3 linked regions of the Coturnix japonica genome follow. The protein of the gene in region 3 purifies or fractionates together with the protein of the main gene of each other region. This does not show direct contact. Links are inferred from orthologs where the notes say so. Each region holds a gene or a part of one and is shown on either strand. Other genes may lie near its edges.

Region 1 (5,344 bases), on a different chromosome or scaffold from region 3:
CCTTGTCTGACAGTGACAGCTGGCTCCGGTACCACAGTGCGTCCCTGCTTCTATTAGCAGACGGGGGTAAAAAGTTTAGTTTGGATTAACAAGAAATTGAGAGCAGTTCTTCAGGCTCTACATCGCATGCCGAGTGCTGGAAGAACAGCACAATTTAGTTTGTACTTTTATCAGAAGGAGGAAAAAGCAATTACTAAGGTATGGAACGTTATCAGCAAATTCTTTTATACCACATCTGGTTAAACAATTAGAAATATATAGTATTAATTGCTCTACATATGTGTCACTAAGTTCTCACTATTAGAACAGAAGACAATTCACTTTCCCTAAGACAATGTAACATTTTACAAGTATTTTTTTCAAAAACAAAACCATCAGAAAACCATTCAAGGCACTTCCAACAGCAGCTCAGGCAAACACACTGCAAGGACTGAGGGGGCAAAACTTGTGCTGAACAAGACCCAGCAGTATCTAATTGTGACTTTCAGATACTTCCTCCTCTAGCCATGCATTAAATACTTATTTTACCACATGAAAACAACAAAAAAAGCCACTTCTAAACAGTGACAGTCTTAGTGAGGAAAGTCTTTGCTGTTCTGCAGCAAAGAAGCCGCAAAGCAACTGCTGATTGTCATTATTGCACAAGCCGGACTATCCATATATAAACACAAACACACACACACAAATAAAGATAATGGCAATAAGCAGCCAGGACAGAAAATTCTGCATCCAAGTATCCTGCAGAAAACAGAATAAAGTAACCAAACCATTTGGTAGACTATTAAAAAACCCATTCAAATCAATAACTAAGCTCCTAGGATGTTTTTTCTATGGTCTCCAGTTCTTAATAATTGTAAAGGCAGCCTTCCATGAGCAGAAACACACCAGTTATACCGTGAAATAAAATCAAGACCTAAGAACAAAATCCATTTGAACTTCCTTTCAAATGATGCCTTCTATAGCACTCCTCACCTCACTCCACCATCCGGGATGCAGCTCCACAACCCACTGTTCCAATGCAGCAATCAGGCACTACTTCTGCAAAGCAATTTATTTCTGTTTCACTACTACCTGCCATTGGAGGAAAACCTCAGGCTAAACTTACTGTTTCAGAGCTAAGTTTGCTCTCTCTGAAACTCCCTCCTCTTCAAGTCATCCTCCAAGCCTGGAAAGCTATAGGACATCAAGTTCTAATGATCAAATGCTCATCACCAGGCAAAGCCATGACACGCTCACTAACTGCAGGGTTTGACTGCAATACTCAGTCACACAGTTGCTGGCAGGTGATACTTTCTCTGATTCAGTTTCGAGATTCTCCTTCCCCAACAACATCTATATGTTGTGTTGATGAATATGATTTAGCCGGGAAGTATTGGTAATGGTTGGACTAGATGATCTTCTAGGTCTTTTCCAACCTTGATGATAATTCTGTGAACATCCGACTGGACCAAACCTTATTTTTGTCACATTTTCAGCTCAGATTTCCAGCTGAATGTGCAGCTATGCAAACACTGCAGTAACATTCATTCATACACTGGTTTATAAAGCAGGGTCACTGTTTTACCCAGTACTTCCACATTATTGGAATTAAGAGAATCTTTTTCCTAAGCAGCCCGATAACATCATAAGGAAACAAATGAAGACTAAGTTGACGAGTTATACACACTAGAACTTTACCAATTAGCACTGCCAATTCTGAGTTAATTGCATATATATATGTGCATAGTTTTACATGAAATTGTATATTCACAAAATGTTTACATGAAACATAGCTAGCCAAGATGAAAGTAAATGATATAATGAACATCACACCTAGTTCTATGACATAATATCTACCTGCACCGCATTGCCACCACAACTTCAGAGCAAGAAAACTAATGCGTGCCTGCTGCCACACAGGGTTCCACTCTCCCCTCATCTTTTTGCCAGGCCATCAAAGCACTGCCAGGCTTTACCTGCCTGAGTAGCAAAGTTAACAACAAACGGGTGAGGAGCCACCTTCACCAAGCACTCCTAAGGTCCATCTGCATGGCAGCCCCAGCACTGACAGTGGATCACGCAGCAAAGCCCTGACCTTATCTTTGAGTTCAGGACCTCGGGTGCCACCGCAGATCAGAACGTTTGGCTGAGCTCCACAGCAGTACGTGTGTTCTGAGGCACCTGCACTGTCACAGCAACCATAGGAGAGGTGGGATTGCTAAGCAACTTCGGTACAGATGAGCTTAATAGAAAGCTGCTTGAACTCGTACAATAAGAAGTTGAAGAAGCAAAGCTGCTCTGCATACAATCATACCAAAAACTAAAGTTCAGTTCATCTGAATAGCAACAGTACTGGAAAGCAGCACGCAAAACTTTCATACAGGGCTACACAAAGTACACGGGTTTACCTGCTGCTACTCAGAAAAACGCATAGGTTTTGGAGATGAAAGTGGGACTGTAATCAGACAAGCTGTGGTTAAATATGATTACGGAGGGTTAAAAAAATAAAAAAGGAGAGGGCAGAAAAAGTTAACTCTAAAGGCGCAATGCAGACTATAGGGAGAGATAGCAAAGTCACTGTTCGGGGTAGCAAAATACGGCCAAACAACCATAGGGAGGCTAAAGCGGAGTGTACAGCATTAAGCCCCTCTGCTTCGGCCAGGGCAGCGCTGCGCTGACCCCGGGCTCGCTCAGAACGCCTCAGTTCTGCCCTGCAGCAGCCGCCGAGAGCCGGCGGGACACCGCGCTGCCCAGCACCGCCTCTCCACACCCAACCAGCGGCTCCTATCGCTACGAACACCCCGGGAAAGTTTGCTATCCCCTTCCCCGCGCCGCCGGGACACACCTCTCGGCACCGTCCCTCCTCCCACCCACGTCCCCACATCAACGTTCCACACAACCACGGCGAGCGGCCGGGATACCGCCGGGATACCGCCGCCACCTCAGCGCCGTCCCCACACCACAGCGGCTCTCTCCCGTTCCGGCCCTCTTCCCGGGGCCGCGGGCCGGGAGCCGCACGCCGCGAGGCCGGGCAGCAGCCCGACGGCCCCCAAGGGCCCTATCGGTGGAACCGGAGGGACGGAGCTCCTCGAGCCGCCGCCGCGCTGGGTGAGCCCCCCTCAGCCCGCCCGTGGCTCACTCTCACTGCAGGGCGGAGGGGCGAGCGCGCCGCTACCGCCAATGGCCCCTCACAGGCGGCGCGCGCGGCCCGCGGGCGGGAAGGGCCCTGAGGGGAAGGGGGGGGAGGACACACTCACCGCTGAGGCGCCGCCGCGCTGAGCCCCCTTCTCAGTGCCGGGGGCGGCTCCGCCCGGGGAACAACGAACGCCAAAAGGCTGCGGAGCGGAGCGCGGCCTCCTGCTGCGCCGACACAAATAGTAAGAAAAAAAAAAAAAAAAAAAAAAAAGAGAGAAAATAGTTTAAAAAAAAAAAAAACTTTCCTCGCCGCCGTCTCCCTCCCCCGAGGAGCACGAACCCAAACACACTGAGACACGCCCCCGCGCCGCCCCTCGCGCCGCCCATTGGACTGCGCCCCGACGACCCCCGCGCTGATTGGCTGTCTCGCCTGCTCGTCTTATCTTTCTCCGCCCCTGAATGCTGTCCATTGGGGAGAGCCGCACGCATCTCCCCGCCCATAAGCCAAGGCCCACGTCCATCAAAGAGAAAGACCCGCCTTCCAGCTCCTCTGATTGGACAGACTCGACGGTACCCCTTCAATGATTGGCTGCCCCGGCTGACTGTCACGTATTGACGTTACCTCCCTCGCTGGCTACCGACCGACCCCCTCCCACTCCTCCCCCTGGCTGGGAGGTTGGCCCCGTAGATGAGACGCCCGCCCCTACTTGCCCCGCCCCCTCTCGCTACGGATTGGCCGGTAGGCTGCGCCCTCGCACGCCATTGGCGAAGGCGTGTGCTCGTCACATTGTAACGCGGCCCATCGAGCAGCGGCGCTGGAAACGAAGTGGATGTGGGGGCTGCAGCAGCGTGCCTCCTTCCTCTGCCCAATGGAGGAGACGGGCACACCCGGTAATGAGGAGGACAGCGGCCACCGCCTCTTCGTGATGCCAGGGGGCAACAACGCCACACTCCTGCCGTCTGCAACATTTACTTCTTGCTCCGCCCTTCCCACACAGCGATTGGACGGGGAGGATGTCAGTCACACTACTGGCCAGCCCATTGGTCGGGGGCGACTCCTCCGCAGCCAACTGGCAGCCGCCTTCGGTGCCAGATTACGCGCAGGCGTGGGCGGGAGGGGGCGTTGTCTTCCCTATGATTGGTTGAGTTAACTGTCAATCTCCGCACCGTCTCCTGGAGGCGGGGGGAAGGCGGTGTCGGGCCGCGTGAGGCGGTGGGGGCGTCACGTGGCTCTCCCAGTTGCGCACGTGACGGGGCTGGCGGCGGCGGTTGGTGGGGGGGCGGTGTGAGGCGCTTCCTCAGAGCGCGGGTTGGCGGCAGCGCTGCTCCGCACGGTGCGGGGGGGGGGAAACGGGGCCTGGAGGGTGAGGAAGGGGCGCTCTGAGGGGACCTGTGGGGTCATCCACACTCAGACGTGGGGTTTGGTGTTGTCTCCATGGGCCCCTTCCAACTCGGGCTCTTCTGTGGTCGGAGATGCATTTGGGAGGGAGGGAAAATGGAGGTGTGTACCCCCATTTCCACGCTCTTTTGGTTCTCTGGTATTGCTGAGGGCTGCTGTTAGCACTATGTCTGTCCCCTCCCAGCCTCATCCAGGCCTGTGTGCCAGCGCCATGTTTCCACTTGGTCTCCTCAGGAGCATCCCGTTATAACGCCACAGCAGCTGAACATGGACTTTAGGTGCCAAAAAGCGAAAGAACAGAGATGCAATACCGACCTGGCTGTGCAGATACTGAGGGAAAGCAACCTCTAAGGGGGCAGGGTTTTGTTGGAAGTTCAGAAGGTCTCGTTCAGGTTCACACATGGAGAATCTCAGCTCCTGGGCTAGTTTCCAGCTCCAAAAGCCCTAATGTGTAAGAACAAAGTAGTTCTTGCTATGTTTTCACACCTCTCCTATTTGCATTTCTGTCCAGAAGTGGGACGGAGTTAGCAAGTGAGACTGTATTTTTTCATCCACTGGATGTCAGTGTTATGCTACTGCTGTGGTGCATTGCCAGGTGCTTGGAGAGCTTCGGCTGCTTGGGGATGAAGGCTTCAGGAAGAGCTTTCCCTTGTGGTTGGTGTGCGATGCTAAGGAAGTGCAGGGGAAAAGGTTTGATAGCGTGTGGATGTGCTGCTGCCTTTGGGACCCTACTCACAAAGCTCACACTGAGCCCTGAGGGAGACATGTCCTTCAGCACTGGAGTCAATCTCGCCTTTGCTCCTTATGCTGTGAAAATACGTGGCCTCATCT
Region 2 (5,240 bases), on a different chromosome or scaffold from region 3:
GAGAGAAGTCCTCAGTGCGTTCTGTGCCAAATAACTAAGGTTAATTTGATTTGATGCACCGCTTCATTACCATAAACAGCTCACAGTGTGTCAGTCCTCCGTAATTACAGCTCCCTACAGCCGGCATCGTGCTCATTTCCCATCACTGACAGTGCTTTGCTATGATCGCCTCCCAGCTCCGCGCTCCTGCACGAGCTGCCCCATCAGTAATTAGGTGTCATTTATTCTGCAGCTGACGGTTACACTAATTTACAAAAATAAGGGCAAGGATATTGAATTTACTTTCCATCACAGCTAGATTTATGTCTGACGGTTTGGGCCACAGCCTGGCTCTGCAGCTCCCAGTGCCAGCAAGGAGAAGGGCACAGTGTGCAATGGGAATAGCTGGGATGCAGGAAGAACAGCAAAAATGCATCAGGAACGTGCAGTACACCCCAGGAATACCCAGCACACATGGGAAAAAACCCATCAGAGGGGAGGAAAACAGTAATTAAGAGGAACCCACAGCACACAGCAGGAATCCCCAGCACACAAGAGCCCAAAGCAACGGGCACAACCTCAGTATATTGACATGAATGGGATGGGTGAATGAGTCAGAGCTTGAAGCTGTGCCCTGAGCTCTGCCCGCTCCTGCTGCAGGACAGTGACCCACAGCCATAGACAAGCCCAGTGCCAGGAGTAGCGGGGGGCAGGGGCACAGCCGAGGGGCTGCACAGTGGAGCTGCAGGAGGGCAGTGCCCACACACAGCAGCACAGAGCTCCTGGGGCTGAAGGTGTTGGTTCCCCTTCTTCTTTATTTTATTATTATTATTTTTAATTTAATTGAATTGTCCATGGAGCTGAACTGATGGTGTTTGCAGTGACTGCTGAATTAGCAGGGTACCAGACTGTGACCATATAAAACACATATTGTTAAAAGGCACTTAGGGCTCCCTTGGAAAGGGTTTGCTGAGCCTTTGAACAAGAACCCAAGGGAAAGCCCTTTATTACCTCTGTGACCGGGTCAATTACTCTAGAACTGAGCAAATTATTTATGAGGTAATCAGCCTATTAAAACATTAACACATCCATCCCTGTGCTGCTGAGCTGGCTCTGTCCTTATTGCTTCGGGTGTGGGGCTGGGCTTTAATTTGCTGAGAGACTTCTGAGCATCAGAACTCAGCTGTAGCTGTTGCCATCAGTGTCTCTGTCTGCCTTGTAAGTAGCAGTGCATGAACTGAGGATGTGAGCTGGGTGAGCTGAGCCTTTGGAGTGATAAAGCATCAAATGTAGGTAATGGACAGGTGGTGAGACCGTACAGGATGGGAATGGCTGTCTTAATCTACTACACAGACACTCTTCACTTTTTTAAATGCCTTTTGGCTAGTCATTTGCCTGCATTTGATATTTTATTATCACATCTTTGATGACATTTCCAGGTACTTACTAAATCAAGATGGAGCTGTGCTTTGTGCTGACTGTCAGATGGGGAACCCAAAGAGCAAAGGGAGCGGATGGGAACAGGTCTTGCCCTGTGCTGGGAGGGGAGGAGTAGGACTGGGCACACTGCTGGGGCTCAGCACCATGGGACAGGAGGGGCTTTGAAACCCATTCCTACCAATTGCAAAGCTATGCCCTAGGAAGTCATGGGCTCACAGGTTTTAATCTGGCGCAAAAGATGGCTGGGAGCGAATCCGTACAAGCAAAAAGGAAGGAAAAACCCACAGAGAAAACCCTGCACACCGCGCCCAAGCTGAACCTCAGGAACTGGGACAGGAGGCTCCTCAGCTCTCTGTGATGGACACGGAGCTGCAGTGAGGAGGAAAAGCAGCTCCCTTGGTGCACTTCAGCAGCGCGGAGAGTTCAGTGCCCAGCCAGCACATCCCTCCTCTAACACAGCCCCGCAGTGACCCACACAACACCGGCAGCGGGATGTGGATGATTGGCAGCCACATTCAGCAGCCGCAGAAATCCCCGTTTTGTTGTTGCTGTGAGATCTTTCGGGATGTCTCTGAAACATATGGCTTCCTTCAGCGGCACAAAGGGGCCAGCCATTACCCAGGAATGCCCCGCGTATTAAATACGGGATCACTGCCGTCACAATGCAGCACCAGCACGGCAATTCATACCCAGCGTCGGCTCAAAGGAGCTTTTGTAGATAATTAGTTCAAGGACAGGAAAAAAATTGCTACTAATGCTTAAAACGGAGCGGATGCTCCGCGCAGCGCTATCTCCTGGTACGCGCTCGGCTCATTGTCTCCCCATATCTCGAGCTGAGCCTGATTAATTTTACTTTTCTCTCCAATTTCTCTGCTGACAATGCGCGGGGAACAAAGGCTCCTGCCTGAACAGGGGCAGTAATTCATCGGCGCTCTCAGAGTCGATGCACAGCTGCCCCTTCCCAGCGTGGCTGCCAGGCACCGGCTCTGCGTGCCCTCTGTTCCCATGGTCTCCAGGGAGATGGTGATGGACCTGCATCCTAATGGACAGTGCCTGTGTCGGGCCCCTGCAGCCCCTTCCAGGCTGGGGCTGAGCCCATGGCCCTGTCTGCCTTTGGGGTTGTGTGGTTGTTTGCGTGCTATGAGCATGGCAGGGGGCAGGTGGGGCACCAGGGCATGGCGGAGCCTGGACTCAGCACCACGGCACAGCACACACTCCAAACACTCACCCCAAATGCTTACGGATGGGGAAGAAAAACAATTAATCCCAGCATCAAGGCAATGAGCTATGGTAGCTTCAGGTGTCCCACCAGCCTGGAGCACTGGGAGCATCACAACGGCTGCAGGGATGCAGCCACAGGAGCACAGCAGGGAGCTGGTGGGAGGAAGAGACACCAAGCAACAGCCCTTGGTGCATGGCTCTGCATGAGCAGCAGCACCCCATAACCTGCAGCACCCCACAACCTGCAGCACCCCATAACCTGCAGCACCCCACAATCTGCAGCACCCCACAACCTGCAGCACCTCACAGCCTGCAGCACCCCACAACCTGCAGCACCAACCAACCTGCAGCACCAAACAACCTGCAGCACCCCGCCACACTCCCACACCCAGCAGCCCCATGCCAAGGCTGCAGGCATCGAAGCTCCCGCACGCACCCTGCATGCTAATGAGTGATGGTGGGATTGCTGCGCCAATTACTTGCTGGCAGCAGCGGTGCACTCACCAAACGGGAGCTGCGGTGCCAAAGCAGAGGGCAGAGTCTCGCAGCGCGGCGGTGACACGGAGCTCTGTGTGCTGCAGGTACGGCTCGGAGACAAAGGGGCAGGTGAAGGAAGCAGACAGACCTGCTGGTGTTTTTGTATTTAAGTTTTTTTTTCTCCTTTCTTTTCTTTCTTTTGTGGAGCTCACGCAGCATTTGGGGCCACACGCCGCCACGTGGCAGGGTCAGGGTGAGCGTGATGAGCCAACCTGCCCCCAAAGTGCCACCGTGACCCCATCATGCACCGACCCTCTGAAACTTCATTGTAAAGATCTAATTTACAGCGAGCTAACGAAATAATTAATTTTTTTGAAGCGGGCTCCTAACCTTTAGAACCAACTCATTTCGGGGGGTGGGGGAGTGAAAGGGGAGCAAAATGCCAAGATTTCGATGAATATTTAATAAATGCTCATGAGCTCGGTGACTTGGAGCCGCGCCAGCTCCATTTGAATGCTGCCCTTTGTTAATAACTAAATTGACGCCTCTGTTGCTCTTCGGTGTTTGTGGCTCTATCAAGCTGTAATCTGTCACAGCGCATATGGGGGAAGAGCAGCTCTGTGAGTGCCCGGCCCCACAGCACCCGCAGAGCAGCGATGGTGCTGCATCGTGCTCCCATCCCTCCAGCTCCACCCAACATACACACACACACGTTTGTGTAGGAACAGACAGAAAACGGAGCAGAACATCCAAAAGAGAACGCTGAGCTCTATGGGGATGCATGGGGACGGCCCCATTCCTGCAGCAGAGTTGGAGCACCGTGATGCTGCAGGGTCTGTGGTAGCTGCCCCCGCTTCTCAATTAGTTTAACTAATTGGGCAACAGCTCCAATGTAATTCGCTCGGTTCTCCCAAACCATTAATTATTCTGCATTCAGGACAAATAGGCTTTGCAGTGGCAGTGTGGGCTCATTGGCATTCCCGGCACACGGCAGCGCTGGGAGCGGTGTCTGAGCGGCACGGGCTGTAATGAAACGCGGCGAGGAAACACTCCATTGGCCACATGCAGGAGCAAAGGGGGGGAAAAAAGGAAAAACAAACCCCATTTCCATTTGGCATGAAATGAGCTACACACAGAACAGGGAAATGAGGGGCTCTGGGGACAAAAGGGAAGGTTTGGGGGAGGCCCTGGAAGCCCCACATCCCGCTGCCACCCATCCCATGGCAACACAGGATGCTGTCACTCTCCATCCCATGGTGGATCCCTCCCGGAGGTCCCATGTCATCCCTGACAGGCTCATGGCACAGCCCCCACTGCGACCTCATCCCCACTCATCCCCACGTGCACAACAGCAGCAGAGCCAGCTCCATCACCACAGCGTGTTCAAGAAAACAGAATGCACCAATTAAATACAGCTGATGAGGGGCACCACCAGCCTTGTGCCCACGGTGCCAGCATGGCCACTGCATGCATGCTACATGCATTCCACAGGTCATCCCCAGACCATTGTGCCATCCCTTGTGCTGGCAGCCACCGAGACCACACGTGGGCTCCCCATGAGGCTGCGAGGCCCCAGCAGCCATCCCAGGGAGCGGCATTTCCAGCCCACGTTGTCGCTACCAGCAGTGCCCCAATGGACCAGCACCGTCCCACACCTACCTGCAGTGCCAGCGGGGGAGGACAGGGCCGAGCGCCCGCTGCTCCACGGGGACGGGGGGGGCCTCGTGCTTGGCCAGCGCTGCCCCACGCGCTGCAACCCAGGTGGGCACCAGGCACTGCCTCATTCGCAGAGGTGAAAGGGAGCGGCCGGCTGCAGCCCTGGCATGTCGAGGAGCTTCTCTTCCCTCTCAGAGGAGACGAAGGAGCGCCCCGGCTTCATCTGTCAGCGCGGCGCTGCTGCGTTATGTCCTTGAGACACAGACCGATGCCATCTGGGCAAAATGCCACGAGATCCCTGGAGACCGGGGAGGATCGCGCTGCCTGCGAGAGCTGCACGGAGCCGAGCACGCCGCTGCCATCAACACATGTTAACTGCTTTGTGGCTGGGGCGAAGCACAGAGCGGCATGGGGGGCTGCTGGCACTGGGTCTGTGGGCAGCAGGATGTGGGTCAGGCAGGAGCCTG
Region 3 (5,186 bases):
GACAGAGACAAGACTGACCCGTTATACAGACACCTGAAGTACCCACCTCATGGAGGGAAGGTGCCGTGTAATCACATCAAGGGCCTGTACAGAATCTTCAGGAACTTCATTCAGATGCCCTGCCAGAGCTTCCAACAGCAACTGAAGGCTGACGACTGACACCCACTGAATGGACACCTTAAAAGTCTGGTCCTTCCCCTCTCCTGGAAGCGTCACCTCCATATCCACCTTACAGATAAAGCGAAGCAGAAGCTTTTTTTAAGGACTGCAGCAGATTTCTGCACGAAGTTCAGACCGCTCACAGTAACACTCACTCTGTCCCTGCCGATGGGTAACGGGTGTGCAGTGTACATGTTCCGCTTCCCGTCGTATCCAGGCTGCCGGTCACCAAATATCTGCATCTTGAAGTGTCTCACCATAGTATCCACCACTTCTCTATAAAGTTAGGTTAAAAAACAGGAAAATCCAGCAGTGATCTTATGTGGTTTCAAATTCCTTTTCTAGATTTTCTTAACTGATCAAGGTAGGAGGAGCTACAGCGCACTCAAACACACACAGGTCATCAGCAGAAACCAGCAGTAAGTCACCTCCAGGTTAAGACACTGAAGTTTCAATACAAAGTGCAAGGCATGTGTCCAAACTCATTGCTGCCAGAAGAGATGCTCTCAGTACAAGCAGAGCAATCTGAAGAACTGTTCATACCCAGGAGCAAATACAAGCATCTGCCCTGGGGTGAGCTGGGGTGCTCTTCAGATGGGCTCTACTGATATGCACAAACACCTAAAACACTTGTATCAATTTACAAGCAGAACTCCCTCACCCCGGTTACTAACAGACATCTTTGTATAACAGCTAACAGTGTTATCGCTATTAAACAGCTCCTACCTGTTCACTCTTCGGGGTCGTTTTTCTGGTTTGATATCCACATCATAGTGATAAACGTCGATCTTAGGGATCTGAACCTGAAAATGGTTGGCTAGGAGGCGGATGGGCTTCCCAACAGTGCCCAGGCCTGGGCGACGGGGGGGCTGGAAAAGACTTGCTGGGGGCCCTGTGAAGTCAAACAAATACAGAAGAGAATTATAACTCAGTGCAGCATCTTTTCAGGTGTGTTTAGCTGGAAAGTCTTTTTGACATGGCAGAAAGAAACCTTAAAGTCCTCAAAGTTTTAAGATCTGAGATACCACGTTAACAAGATTAAACGCTTTCTGTTGTTGTTCAATCTATCACAGCCCCAGTCTACACTGCATACAAAGCAATATCTTTTCATGGCTTTTGTCTGTATCTGGCAGCATGCAGGGTGATCTGTGATTCTTCCCTCTGTTCTCGAGCAGCAAAGCAGAGGGGCAAAGAGTAGCAATAAACTAACAGTTAAACTAAGGGCAAGTTCAGTATCATAAGTGTCAACCTGCCAGTATCCATTTAAATCAAGGGCTCACAGTTATATTAGAAGCGAAGAGAAGCAGATAAGCTGTAGGAGGATGAAGCTCATATTTGGGAACACTTCAGTGTGCAGCAATAAGCTTAACACAATCCTAAACTACAGCTAAGACCAAACGAAAGGAGCCTCCTGCACTTGGGTTTGTAAGCAGCTGACGGCCATCGCACCCAAATACCAACCCCACAATGACTGCAAGCAGAACGCTCAGAGCAGCTGGAGCCCAATTGACACATCACTGCCAAAGCTTTGGCTGTATGGGGTGCAGACATCCCACACGATGCATTGCTGGTTCTGCACCCACATGAGTAATTGCCACCAGGGCAGGAGCACAGTTAAACTGGTTGTAGGGTCCAGTTAGTACTTCTACAAGCTACAGCCATCTCGCCAAGTGTGAATCATCAAGGGCAATCAAAGTTTGCTGTGCTTATTTGGATACGAGAGAGATGATCCATTAATCCTGCGCTAATTAGCCTGAAGTAAGTGCAAGCACTGACCTCCCACAAGAGATTAAATGACAACTATATTTACCCATTTTCCTGCCTCATATTGATACGTTTCGTGGGCAGGAATGGCTGTGCTGACCGAGGTCAGCGTCCATGGAAGGAGATGCAACTTAAACCTTCTCCTTTCTAAAGGCACTTCTCCAAGGATTCTGGAGACCACCCTGCCCCATCAGCCTGACAAGGTTCACATGCACTATTTAACTCCATTTCTTCCACCGTGGGACATTTATGGGTACTGAAACCTCAAGATGTTACTTCAGACAGGAAGTGTTGTACGGAGCAAGAAGAGGATCCAGCAGAGCAGGCAGCCAGCACGGACAGACTGCATGGTGCAGCTGCAGAGCAGACTGTCAGAACAAACCTCTGCTGGTTTCTCGGTCTCTGAAGGTCCCTTCCAACCCCTACAATTATATCACAGAATCACAGACTGGCATGGGTTGAAAAGGACCACAATGATCATCCAGTTCCAACCCCCTTCTATATGTAGGGTCACCAACCAGCAGCCCAGGCTGCCCAGAGCCACATCCAGCCTGGCCTTGAATGCCTGCAGGGATGGGGCATCCACAGCCTCCTTGGGCAACCTGTTCCAGTGNAGCAGCCCAGGCTGCCCAGAGCCACATCCAGCCTGGCCTTGAATGCCTGCAGGGATGGGGCATCCACAGCCTCCTTGGGCAACCTGTTCCAGTGCATCACCAACCTCTGGGTGAAAAACATCCTCCTTATATCCAACCTAAACCTCCCTGTCTCACTTTAAAACCATCCCCCTTGTCCTATCACTGTCCACCCTCACAAACAGCCGTTCCCCCTCCTGTTATACGCTCCCTTCAAGTACTTGAAGGCCACAATGAGGTCTCCCCAGAGCCTTCTCTTTTCCAAGCTAAACAAGCCCAGTTCTCTTAGTATCAATAAATACCTAATATTTCAACCGAATTAACAATTATACCAAGACAAGTCACACTTCGGTAGAGAAACCCAACCGGCAGAAGAATTAGCTCGGCTATTAAAACACAAGCAAGAAAACACCACATGCAAAATAACACCAGCATTCAACCACAGGCTGCTGACCAATATAACGCCCTCATCAGCCTCTCTGTGCTCACAGCCTCTCTGTGCTCACAGCCGCTGCCGCCCATCCCAAGCACAGCCCGAGTGCCCCATTGACAGCTCAGCCATCACCCGCCCCACAAACTTCCCCCGTAGTTCCCAGCCGGTTCCAGGCCGTGTCGTTCGGTTCTCATCGCTCCAGGCTCTCCCCGCGGCCCAGCGGCCTGTAGCGGCTCCCGAGCCCGCGGCCTCCGCTTCCTCCACCTCCTCCCCTCTCCCGTACAGCCCCCACCGGGGCCTCGCCCCTCCCGCTGTATCTCACCGGGTCCCAACGCTTCCATAGCGGCGGCGGCGGCGGCGGCCTCGCTGCGGTCCCCCCCGGCCCCACCGGCCGCCCCGGGCCCCGCCGCCGCCGCCGCCGCGTAACGCTTGATCTCGGGAATATTGACTTCGGGATGTGGGCCAGGCGAGGAAACGGGGGGGAGCAGCGGCGGTGGGGGGGGTGGCGGCGGCGGCGGGGGGGGAGCTGCCGGAGCTCCGCTAACCCCGAGCGGCGTTGCAAACAATCCCCCCGCTGCGCGCCGCCGAGCGCGCCCCCGCCGCCGCCGCCAGCACGCGCCGCCTCCCGCCGTGCGCGCCCCCTCCACGCTGCCCTGAGCCGCGGGAGCGCGCACGCACAACGCCCCCCTGCTGGCGGGCGGGAGCGCGCACGTCGTTACGCACACAGGTGAGCGCGCCCCGCCCCCTCCCAGCAATGAGGCGCTTCGGTCCGTTGGTTCTCGGCTCTTTTTAACCCCATTTTACACAATATAAAACACATTTTACACAATATAAAACATCGCCTCCATCCGGAGCCATTATTAGAGCCAAATTCAGGCCCTGTGGTAACTAAAGAGGCGCTGTGCGGCCTGGCAGCCCGCTGTTGTCACTCTGTCCGTTCTATGATGTGTTAGAGACATAAAAACAGCCACAATTACCCGGATCTGCACAGAAATAACAGCGGACACCTCACAAATGTCACCGGGAACCTCAGAAATTGCTGTTTTTTCTCCCTTTATCACGCTGCGAGATGCAGCCTGACTTTTAATTGCGACAAAACAACTAATAAACGTTATCAAACCGTTTTTATATTGTACAAAGTGCGGACCTGTCGTGTATATATATATATATATATATAAGGTGAATCGGATCTTACATTGTGTAGGTTCGGGTTGTGGTGTCACCGCGGCCCGACCCCGCACTGAGGAGACCCCGGTACCACACGGAGCTCCACCCCCACACGGAGAGCGCTGATTGGACGGTGCTGGAGAGGGCGGGGCGAAGAGATACAAACACCCAATCAGACACAAGGAAGGCGGGGCTTAAAGGGATGTGCTGAGCGATGATTGGTTGGTGCTAAAAAAGGGCGGGGCTAAAGCAGCGCGCGAAGACTCGAAGAGGTTCATTAGGCGGCACAGGCCGGGCCGGGTCATGGCGGCTCCCGTTGAGGTGAGTGTGACCGCACCGTGTGTTCATCTGCCTCCTACCGGGGATATTACAGCTCCTGTGACCGCAGGGCTGAGGGCGGACATGGCCATTGAGCGACATGGCGGAGCTTCCACAGCTCAACCGGGCGGCCCCGCAGCTCCGTCCTCCCGCCTTTGCTTCAGGACTGCATTTCCCAGAATGCTCAGGGAGGCGGCGCTCACTTCCGGCTCGCGGTGCATTGTGGGAGCTCGTGGCGGCCTTCCGGTGTGATGGCGCTTCACTTCCGGTTGTAGGCCGCGTTTGGTCGTAATGAACTCAAAGCGCTGATTGAGTTGTGTGTGTGTGCGGTCACGTGGGGCACAGGCACGTTTAGACACTAATAAACATTGATAGAGTGTGGAAATACGAGGACAGGCTGAGGGAGATGGGTTTGTTCAGCCTGGAGAAGAGAAGGTTGCGGGGAGACCTCATTGCAGCCTTTCAATACCTGAAGGGAACCTACTCTTCCCTTAAACTCTTCGGAAGGGCTGACAATAGCAGGACACGGGGAAATGGTTTGAAGTTAAAGGAGGGAAGATTTAGGTTGGATGTTAGGGGGAAGTTCTTCACTAGGAGAGTGGTTAGGCCCTGGAACAGGCTGCCCAGGGAGGTTGTGGATGCCCCGTCCTTGGAGGTGTTCAAGGCCAGGTTGGACGGGGCCATGGGCAACATGATCTATGGGGTCTCTATGG

What was found. Proteins that work in one complex are often made in the same cells at the same time.
Region 1: the proteins of protein argonaute-4 (region 3) and TNRC6B purify together in Homo sapiens (co-immunoprecipitation; 3 studies listed by BioGRID and IntAct, with this or other methods). This does not show direct contact. The link is inferred for Coturnix japonica from reciprocal best matches to the Homo sapiens genes AGO4 and TNRC6B.
Region 2: the proteins of protein argonaute-4 (region 3) and TNRC6A purify together in Homo sapiens (co-immunoprecipitation; 4 studies listed by BioGRID and IntAct, with this or other methods). This does not show direct contact. The link is inferred for Coturnix japonica from reciprocal best matches to the Homo sapiens genes AGO4 and TNRC6A.

What each region holds. Positions count from the first base shown.
Region 1 is NC_029516.1:45,822,665-45,828,008, forward strand, and holds the start of TNRC6B (trinucleotide repeat-containing gene 6B protein), read right to left. Parts: upstream 3,352-5,344; 5' UTR 3,237-3,351; intron 3,161-3,236; exon of another isoform or gene 3,119-3,160; intron 1-3,118.
Region 2 is NC_029529.1:6,727,715-6,732,954, reverse strand, and holds the start of TNRC6A (trinucleotide repeat-containing gene 6A protein), read right to left. Parts: upstream 3,352-5,240; 5' UTR 3,337-3,351; coding exon 3,145-3,336; intron 1-3,144.
Region 3 is NC_029538.1:3,746,131-3,751,316, forward strand, and holds the start of protein argonaute-4, read right to left. Parts: upstream 3,411-5,186; 5' UTR 3,330-3,410; coding exon 3,311-3,329; intron 1,052-3,310; coding exon 886-1,051; intron 436-885; coding exon 315-435; intron 229-314; coding exon 47-228; intron 1-46. Other genes in the region: CLSPN (claspin), read left to right, coding at 4,459-4,476.